Neurospora crassa OR74A: one gene and its partner. The protein of the gene in region 2 interacts with the protein of the main gene of each other region in a biochemical or structural test. Links are inferred from orthologs where the notes say so. Each region holds a gene or a part of one and is shown on either strand. Other genes may lie near its edges.

Region 1 (4,283 bases), on a different chromosome or scaffold from region 2:
TACCTCTTTCTCCAGCAAAGTGAATAACCATTGCTGATAGAGTTACGAAGTAACGTTTTTACTGACTCCCGGAGGGGAGCATGTCAATGTACAGGAAAATTTACTTGCCATGCACATTTAACGGTGCCCTGGTGCCCTTGAATCCCCTTATATAGGTAACTCGTCACGCTCACTATGTGATTCTAGCGATAAGGTGAAGGTAAATGACCTACTGCATATAATGTCATTCGTCCGAATGGTCACCATCAGTATCATAGCCTCATGGGCCAGGATAGAAAACAAGAATAGGGGGAACCAACCATAAACAAATCGGTCACGTTCTTAGACGAGTACCAAACGGGAAGACTCTATACTATGTTACAACCAGCGTAAACACATTGCACATAACTTGTTTCTATTCCTAACAACGTTTAACTTGAGACATATGTATCTCGGCGTCTTTAATTTGATCTACTTATTACTGTGGGAAAACTTGGATGTGAGCTTTGCTGATATAGTACGATTACTTTCTGAAGCTGGTTAGGAACTCTCCATTTCGAGCAGAACGTTCAAAACTCTCAAGAGACCAAAAATCATGCTCTCTACCACGAAACCCATATCAATGAGTGACTGGTAGATATGAGTGTTGCAAAAAGCATACAACTGACTGATGCCTTGCGTTTTCAAGTACCAATAACAATGTTCAACAAGAATCAAACAAGCCACCAAAGGAGAATAACAAGGTACCAAATCTGTTCCCGCTCACTCTCATGCTAGTCAAAAGACACCCAAAAGCAAGAATAACAACAAACACCTTTACATGCCATTTTCACCATTTTCCATCTCGAAGCCCAACCCAACGCCAGCCGTATCCGTCAATTTTTGCCACACCTTCAAGCAAACCCGGAGATCATTTGTCTCTTGCAGGCTCAATTGGTGACCACCATCTCTCATCCGTACCCGTATCACGTTTCGGCGAGCCTACGCCAGGAGGTTGAGATACGGTTCCGGCCAGCGTCCCCATATCAGCGGGTGGTTGCCCAGCCGACCGCTGACCGGCGACAGGAACTTGACCCGCCTGCGCTCCTGGTCCACGTCGGCGATGACGATGAAGCCCAGGACCGAGGAAAAGCGGATGGCTTGCGGCGAGTCGGTCACGGAAGCGATCATGACTGCTAGCGTCCAGTGGGCCATTTCGGGGGTGATTTCGACTCGCTCGAGGACTGGGGCGCCTTCATAGGGTTCTGTTTTGGTAAAGACAGGCGTTAGCTTAGGTGCCAGGTAGGGTGAGGTAGTTTCAGTGCAGCGAGAGAAAGAGAGTGAGAGAGAGAGAAAACTCACCGTCAGGCGCCTTGAAAACGACTAGTTCGTCGAAACTGGCTGACTGTGTAAAGGGGCTCAAGCGCGCCTTAATGCCACCAAAGAAGTATTCCTTAATCGCCGTCTCTGTAGACTTCTGCCTCCACGCCTTGTCAATCTGTACAGCACCATCCGACTTGTCTAACCCGAGGACAGTAATCGGCTCTTCAAAGCTCGTCTTCTCGCTTGCGAACCGCTGCCCAAGTTCTGTCTTTAGCTGTTCAGAGCCTAGCACCACAACGAAGTTTGCTATAGTTGCATTGTTAGCTTTCGTCACTCTTGATGAGGTCTTTCTGGAGGCCAATCAGACATAAACTCACCATCAAACTGCCTAACCGCCCACCCCAACAGCTCCTGCCCCTCTTTGTCCCCCGCCTCCACCGGCGCCGTATCAACCAACAACCCCGCCACCCTCACATCCCGATTCCTCTCAAACTTGCGCCTGGCCAACACCGCCAGCCGCTCCGTCATCTGCCTCCACATGTCCACGTCGTCCTCCACCTTCTCGTGTCCAAAGTAAAATGTGAGCGGGTTCTTGACTGGCACCGCGCTGGGACCGCTGATCGGCGTGTTCGTCACGCCAAACCCACCCGCCGGCTCCTCCACGTCCATCAACGTGCCGAACACGGCCGCACCCAGCGTTCCGGGTAGACACAGCAGCCCGTCGGTCGGGTTCAGATTGGCTACCAGCGGCTGAGAGCCCATGCGCGTGGCGAGGGCAGCGAGGAGCTTCGCCAGCGAGGTCTTGCCGACGCCGGGTGGACCACAGATCAGCACTCTTGGCCCGGGTTTTGACCTCGCTACTCCTGCTCCTGCTCCTCTCCCTTGTTGCTGCTGCTGGTGGTGTGTAGGATGTTGTTGTTGTGCCTGAGCGGCCGCGGCACGCTCGTGGTCTTGGAGGCCAAAGTGGAGGTTGATATAGCTAAGCATGGGCGACTGTTCCGGCGGGTGTTCAACCACGCGGTCCTCGAGGGGGTAGCCGCCCGTGTTGTTGATCTCCAGAGTGCATCCTTGATCGGTGAAGAGCTTTGATTTGGTGCCGGGGAGAAATGTGTAGACGCAGTTGGGCGCGAGCTCAGTGCCATCGCGCTCAGCAGTGCCGGCGACGAGGCGGACGGTGACTCCGGCGGCGGAGGAGTTCGATGAGAAGGTGCTGTGTTGGTGGGGGATGGAGAAGCGCCATTCGCCGAACGGTCGGAGGTTAATGGTCCGCTGGGTGGTTGTGGGAGCCTGGATTACCGAAAACGGGCAAATGGCAGGCGATGGTTAGCTGGTTGTGATCTCGGGTCACGAGTGTGCCTATGGATAATAATGGCTTGTGAGGAGATGGTGATGCCGTTGGATACACGTGCGCGCCTGGGGTTATACGAAGCATGTCCGCGCGAGAGCTTGGGTTCGTTTACCTGCGGGGCTATCTGACCGAGGCCTGGAATTGACATTGCGGGCTGTGTTCAGCGCGTGAACGAGGTTGTTCACAGGCTGTTGGATATGTACTTGTATTTCGTTCTCCTTCTTGTAAGGTTCTGTTTGCGTTTGCGCCGATGGGGGTGAAAGTTGTAAAGTCCAGCCGTTGGCATGCAGGGATTCCAGGTTATTGTGGCATGCAATGGAACCTAAGTGGAAGACGGGGAGCTGATGCTCACTGCAGCAAGGCCAGGGCTGTTGAAGCTGAGGTGAGTTTAGCGGCTGCGGGCAGTGGGGCTCAAACGCTGTGTACCCTGAAGGTACTAAGCGTGTCAAGGGCATTCATTGAGGTTGTCTTACTCCAGACTGCCAGGTGTAATTGTGCTTTCCGCTTCCACTTTTCGTCCCAGTTCGAGTGTTTGAAAATCGAGTTAAAAGCAGCCCGTTTTAGTACCTATTGCCTCTAACCAGCTGCTGGTGAGTTTGTCAAATTTCAGTAGCATGTCTGCCTTCATAGCAGATTTTCAAGAAAAAACATTGAAACAGTAAAATATGGCATATGGTTCCAGCGCAAGTTGTGAATTGCTGTCACAGACAACAACAACATCAACAACAACAACCACATCCAGATACTACAATTACGTTCAAGTTGTGGCAAGATCGGATAACAGCGTACAACAAAAATAAGGGGTATATTGCGTGAAAAGAATTGCCGTCCCCCTAATAGCCCGTGTGGCTGGTTCCCCTTCTTTCAATGATGTTCGTAACGGACGTCAAAAACCTCTCCTCTACCTATGCATATATATTCGTATATGCTCTCTTCCCTTTTCGTCTCTTTTCCTTCCTCTAACCTGCCCGTGACATGCTCTAACCGTAGTCTCGCAAGGTAGCCCCAATTGCAATCCCAAACGCCTTGAAATGCCGCCTTAACTCCACGATTGCTTTCGGAAACCCGCCCTTCAATCATCTGCCAGCTGTTCAAAGATCTTGATCAAACTCCGAACGCCAAACAGAGCATTCTCGTCTGGGCCTTGCCCGGGTGTCCACTCGGCATGTGCAAAGTCAATGAGTTTGAGGGAGTAGATGCGAGGAATATCGCCGTTCGAGGAACCCGACATGCTGTCTGCGTCGGAATCGGCAGTGAGTTGGATGTCTTGGGAACCAGGTGCCTGAGCCAGGTTCGCCAGTATCATGTTTTGGCCGATGGCTGCGTTGATTGGAAACACCATCTGCCCCTCGTCATCCATCTCGATGCCACTATCAACGCGAGATGCAGATAGACCTGGCGTGTACGGTCCATCATCCTTCTTGTATTGCTCTCCCGACATGTCAGCTCGGGTCCGGTCAAGGGCAGCTCTCAACGCGTTGCCGTCTCCTTCGAATGTGAACAGCAAGCTCGCCGAGTACATTCTGCTCTCCTCCGAAGCCAACACCTCCTCGATGCGCTTTAGGTCATTGAGGAAGAGACCCGCAATGATCTTGCCAAGCTCCTCATCTATCCCGGCCTGAGAATTGAAAATGAACTTGCGCATCGCCTCCAC
Region 2 (4,527 bases):
TCGACGATGGGGGAGACGTTGTCTTGGCCGAATTGGGCTTCGAGGAACATGCATAGGCGGAAGAAACGGTCTTCGGGGGTGAGGTGTGAGTGAGGGTTTTTGTCGGCGGGGAGAGGGGAGTGGGTGTGGGGGTTTTTGGTGGCCGAGCCTGGATTGGAGTTAGTATGGGATATGTAAGAAGAAATGGGCCAGGGGAAGGGAAAGGGGAATAAGAACGGGAAGGGAACGGGAAAAAGGGACATACGCTTCACGGCAGCTGGACTACTCTCAATACCAAGCAACACGGCCATCACGGCATCAGCAATGCCGTCGTTGAGCATGTTGCCTTCCCACTCTAGTTCTACCTCGCCGCTGGCACGGTAGCGGACGGTGACGCATCCCATGACCAGGTAAGCGGCTACCACGTCGTCACCGTGGGGCAACTCCTCATCAGCTTCTTCCATCTTGGTATCGCCGTTCTCGCTCTTAACGATCTCCAGCTTTGGCTTCACTTCGGGGAGTTCTTCGACGGCACCAAAGGTTCCTTCGAGACCCCACTTGATGAGGTCAATACCAGCGGCACTCAGCTTCAAACGCTGCTTGCACGCAATAGTGGTGGTCGTCAAGCCAGCATACTCTCTGAGATCCTCCGGAGCCATCAGGGACATTTTGAAGTCGTTTTGCACCAAAACACCAGTGATAAGCTGAGGTTCGGTAGAGGAGGGAAGAGGTCCGTCATGCCCGGTCTTGGCTTCCTTTAAAGAAGGCGGGATGGACGCAAGCTTGCCCACCACCTTGGCGACTTTGTCCGTCTTGAAAGGGATGCGAAGCTCCTCGCAGTTTCTGGGGCTGAACACCTTGACTTTGTGTTCCTTGGTCGCGTTGAGCGAAAGAAGCTTGGACTTGAGACGCATCATGTTGTGCACCTCGCCGTGAACGAGGATGACGACGGGGGCGGCGACTTCCTCGATGAACTCCCTGTTTTCCACGCCGTCAACGTGCGCAGCAAAGGAGAACTCCTGGACGGTGCAGCGACGGGGGATCATGACCTTCTCGGCGTCACCACCGGGGCCGCGGCGGGCACCGGCAATGTTGCGAGACATGACGGCTTGAATCTGCTCTGGCTCTTGAAGGAGCTGCTTGGCCATGGTGCCCTCGACGGAGTAACCGGTGATGATAACGCCGTTCTTCTCGCTCGGCGCCCATCGCTCCAGCAGCTCGCGACTGACGCCATTTTGGAGCATACCAGGGGAGGCAAGCATGACGCAGCCGCCGACGTCCTCGAAGCGGTCAAGGCTCTTGAGGGAGCGGATGAACCTAAAGTCCCATGGTCCTCCCTTGCCGGCACCGTCACCGGAGGACTCGGACTCGGCCAGACGCTCGCGGAACAGCCGCTTGATGTTGTCGTTCATGGAGCCGACATAGGTCTGGTAGACAAGCATACACTTGCGCGCGAGGTTGGAGGCGTAGTAGATGGGGTATTTCTGGTATTCGGCGTGCTTGCCCCAGTACTCGTCGAGGATGAGGAGGAGCTCCTGGGCTCGACCGAGGGCGAAGACGGGCATGAGGACGCGGCCGCCTCTGTTAAGGATGCCGGTGATGGATTTCATGAGGGCCTGTTCACGTTCTGGTCGGGGAATGTGCGAGGCGATACCGTAGGTGGACTCGGTGATGAGGACGTCGATCTTGACACCCTTGGGGACTTTGGCAGAGATAAGATGCCTGTCTTCTTCACGGGAATAGTCGCCAGTGAAGAAGATCTTGAGGCCGGCGATCTCAATCAGAAACATGGCGGCGCCAAGGACGTGGCCGGCTGGGTATGGTGTGATGCGGATGGAGGAGATGGTGTGGGTAGTATTGTAGTCGATGGCCTCGATCATGGGAAAGGTCTTGAGATGGTCCTCCTCGGTGTAGACGAGCGACGATTGCGGGTTCGACGATGTGTTGCCAACACGGACACTGTCCTGGATAAGCCATTTGTAGATAGCCTTGGTGGCATGTGTCATGAAGACACGGCCTCGGAAGTTGGTCTTGGCCAAGACATATGGTAACGAGGCGGCATGGTCGATATGAAAACTAGAGAGTGGGCAGTCAGTCTCGGCTAAGGTCTGGACCAGGTAGGCGACTATGGGCGAGGACAGTGCTTCACAGAGAACATGCAGCGCGAGTGGCAGACAAGATGGGAGGGGGAAAAGGAGAAGAGCGGGCAATGGCGACAAATTCTTTTGTATTTTCATTTCCTGAATACATGTATATGATGGACGGTACAATGCTGCAAAGCGGACAAGAACCGCAGAGACCATAGAGCAACGTGTCAGTCACTGGCGATGGCGTATATCCAGAGCCCAGCTCGATCATCAACCCATCTTGTCCCAAGCCAAACACTGCGGCACTGTCTCTCGCGGATAGACGGGCATACATATAATTGTAGGCCATGGCAAAAAAAGGGGGTGAAGGGGGTTGGGCTTACTGGCTGATCAAGAGGACATCTACTGTGCTGAGATCGAAGTCATCAAAGAATGGAAGGGCAGCTAGGCCATCATATGCTGGATGTTGGCCAGCATCAAGCTACAACAACCCACGGAGAGGTCAGCCCATGTTCGTTGGGAGGAGTGATTGATTTTGGTTGATTTTGCGCACCATAACGGTTTTGCCCTTGTACTGGATGATGTGACATGATCGGCCGACTTCGTTGCCTCCGCCGAGGTTGAGGAACATGAGTTCATCCGCTGGGTCGACCGGCTCCTCTGGCTCCGTCGCCATTGCCGAAGCCTTCCGCTTGGAAGCCATGGCTTAGGTATTCTTTTGGTTCGTTCGCTCCACGCGTAAATCCTTGCTTTCCCACCGTCGCCCTGTATATACTTGGGAACTTTCAAGCTGCTGACTGCGATTGTTTGATTGGCAAAGTGTGGCGGTTTCGATGCGATTTGAAACGCGAATTACGCACGTCAATTGCGAGATGACGTGGCTCAGTCGACGTGAGAAGAAAGACGGAATATCACGGATTAGTACGCGCCGTGAATATGGATGGCGCCCTTGATGTGATTTCGTTGATGGATGTTGAATGCGTTTTGGATGAAGATGGCAAGTGCTCGTTGAATGAAGTGAGGTTGAAGTTGGCGGCTGATTTGCCTGCCGGAAGTCCCTCTTCGGTCCCAAGCCAGCCGCACAACAACCGTCAACGGCCAAATGCCCCACTATTTTCCACCAATCTCACACGTGACTGGCTCACTCACTTCATTGTACGTACCAGACGCGACCCTTGTTGAGGTTCAGTGGAGCTCGTGCCGCCGCTAGCAACAAGCAATTGAACCTGCAGCGGCGGGCAGCAACTGGTCCCGTCGTTCTTCGTGTGCGAGAGTCCCTCTTTTCGATTTTATTGTTCGTCATTCTTTCTCCGACCACCCGACCTCGACCTCCCCTCCTCCAGTGCTTCACCCAACAATCCGATTCATAACCTCCCACCGTCGCCATCACTCCCGCGGATCCAAACGACAATTAATTGTCGACCACGACGATACTCCAACGAGCGAGAAATACATCGACCAACTCGGACACCGATCGATACGAGCGACCGGCGTATGGAAGGAGAGACACGGCGTAGCTAGAGGGGCAGCGCAGGTTCGCCTGCTTCCACTTGGGTTTACGGTGACGGGAACCTGAGCACTTGATCAGTTGGGAGCTCAGCCTCGCCGTCAGCTGGAGGACAAGGAATAGCTGCTTATTATCAACGACGACCTTCATCTGTCCACCCCAAGGGCGCCCCATCACCATGGCGCAACCACCGCAACAGCCTCAGATGCCTCAGTTGCAACAGCAGCAGCCTCAGTTACAACAGCAGCAGCCTCAGTTGCAACAACAACAACAACAACAACAACAACAACCTCAGTTGCAGCAGCAGCAGCAACCACCACAAATGTCGCCGCAGTTGCAACAGTTCCAGCTCCAGCAACAACAGCAACAACGTGCCCAGATGCTCGCTCAACAACAAGCCCAAGCCCTTGCTCAGCAACAGCTGCAGCAACGCGCCCAGCAACCTCAGCAGCATGTCCAGCCTCGCCAAATTCCCCAACAGTTGCAACAACATAGCCAACAGCAGACCCAACCGCCGCCGCCGCAACAACAACAGCAACAGCAGCCGCAGCAACGTGTACAGCAACAGGTCCATCAGCAAGGGCACCAGCAAGCCCCAACTCACCAGCAACACGCTCAACAACAACCACAACACCCCCAACATCCTCAGCAGCAGCAGCAGCATGTCCCGCAGCCGCAACAACAGCAACATCATCCACAACTCCAGCATCCCCAGGCCCAGTTGCAGCAACCTCAGATCCAACACCCTAGCCCGCCAGTCCACCAGCAACCGCAGTTTGCTCGTCCGCAGCACACACCCTCTCCGGCGCCCACCACCCAAGCGCAGTTCTCGATACCGCCGAACCAGCAGCGTCCCCAGACCGGCGCAAGTCCTGCCTCTCAGCCGGGCTCGCCTTACCTTCCCCAGAACTACGCCACTACGCCTCAGTCGGCCGCGGCCCCGACGCCGCCAGC

The links.
Region 1: the proteins of NCU03479 (region 2) and NCU06314 form a complex in vitro, tested with the Saccharomyces cerevisiae proteins (3 studies listed by BioGRID). The link is inferred for Neurospora crassa OR74A from reciprocal best matches to the Saccharomyces cerevisiae genes YSH1 and CLP1.

What each region holds. Positions count from the first base shown.
Region 1 is NC_026504.1:2,943,334-2,947,616, reverse strand, and holds NCU06314 (hypothetical protein), read right to left. Parts: upstream 2,929-4,283; 5' UTR 2,269-2,928; coding exon 1,659-2,268; intron 1,588-1,658; coding exon 1,321-1,587; intron 1,224-1,320; coding exon 961-1,223; 3' UTR 481-960; downstream 1-480. Other genes in the region: NCU06315 (inositol hexaphosphate kinase 3), read right to left, coding at 3,702-4,283. UniProt on the Saccharomyces cerevisiae protein: Component of the cleavage factor IA (CF IA) complex, which is involved in the endonucleolytic cleavage during polyadenylation-dependent pre-mRNA 3'-end formation. Associates with HRB1/CF IB to form the cleavage factor I (CF I) complex.
Region 2 is NC_026502.1:551,068-555,594, reverse strand, and holds the start of NCU03479 (endoribonuclease ysh-1), read right to left. Parts: upstream 3,096-4,527; 5' UTR 2,770-3,095; coding exon 2,620-2,769; intron 2,548-2,619; coding exon 2,450-2,547; intron 2,056-2,449; coding exon 245-2,055; intron 149-244; coding exon 1-148. Other genes in the region: NCU03480 (hypothetical protein), read left to right, coding at 3,752-4,527. UniProt on the Saccharomyces cerevisiae protein: Component of the cleavage and polyadenylation factor (CPF) complex, which plays a key role in polyadenylation-dependent pre-mRNA 3'-end formation and cooperates with cleavage factors including the CFIA complex and NAB4/CFIB. Has endonuclease activity.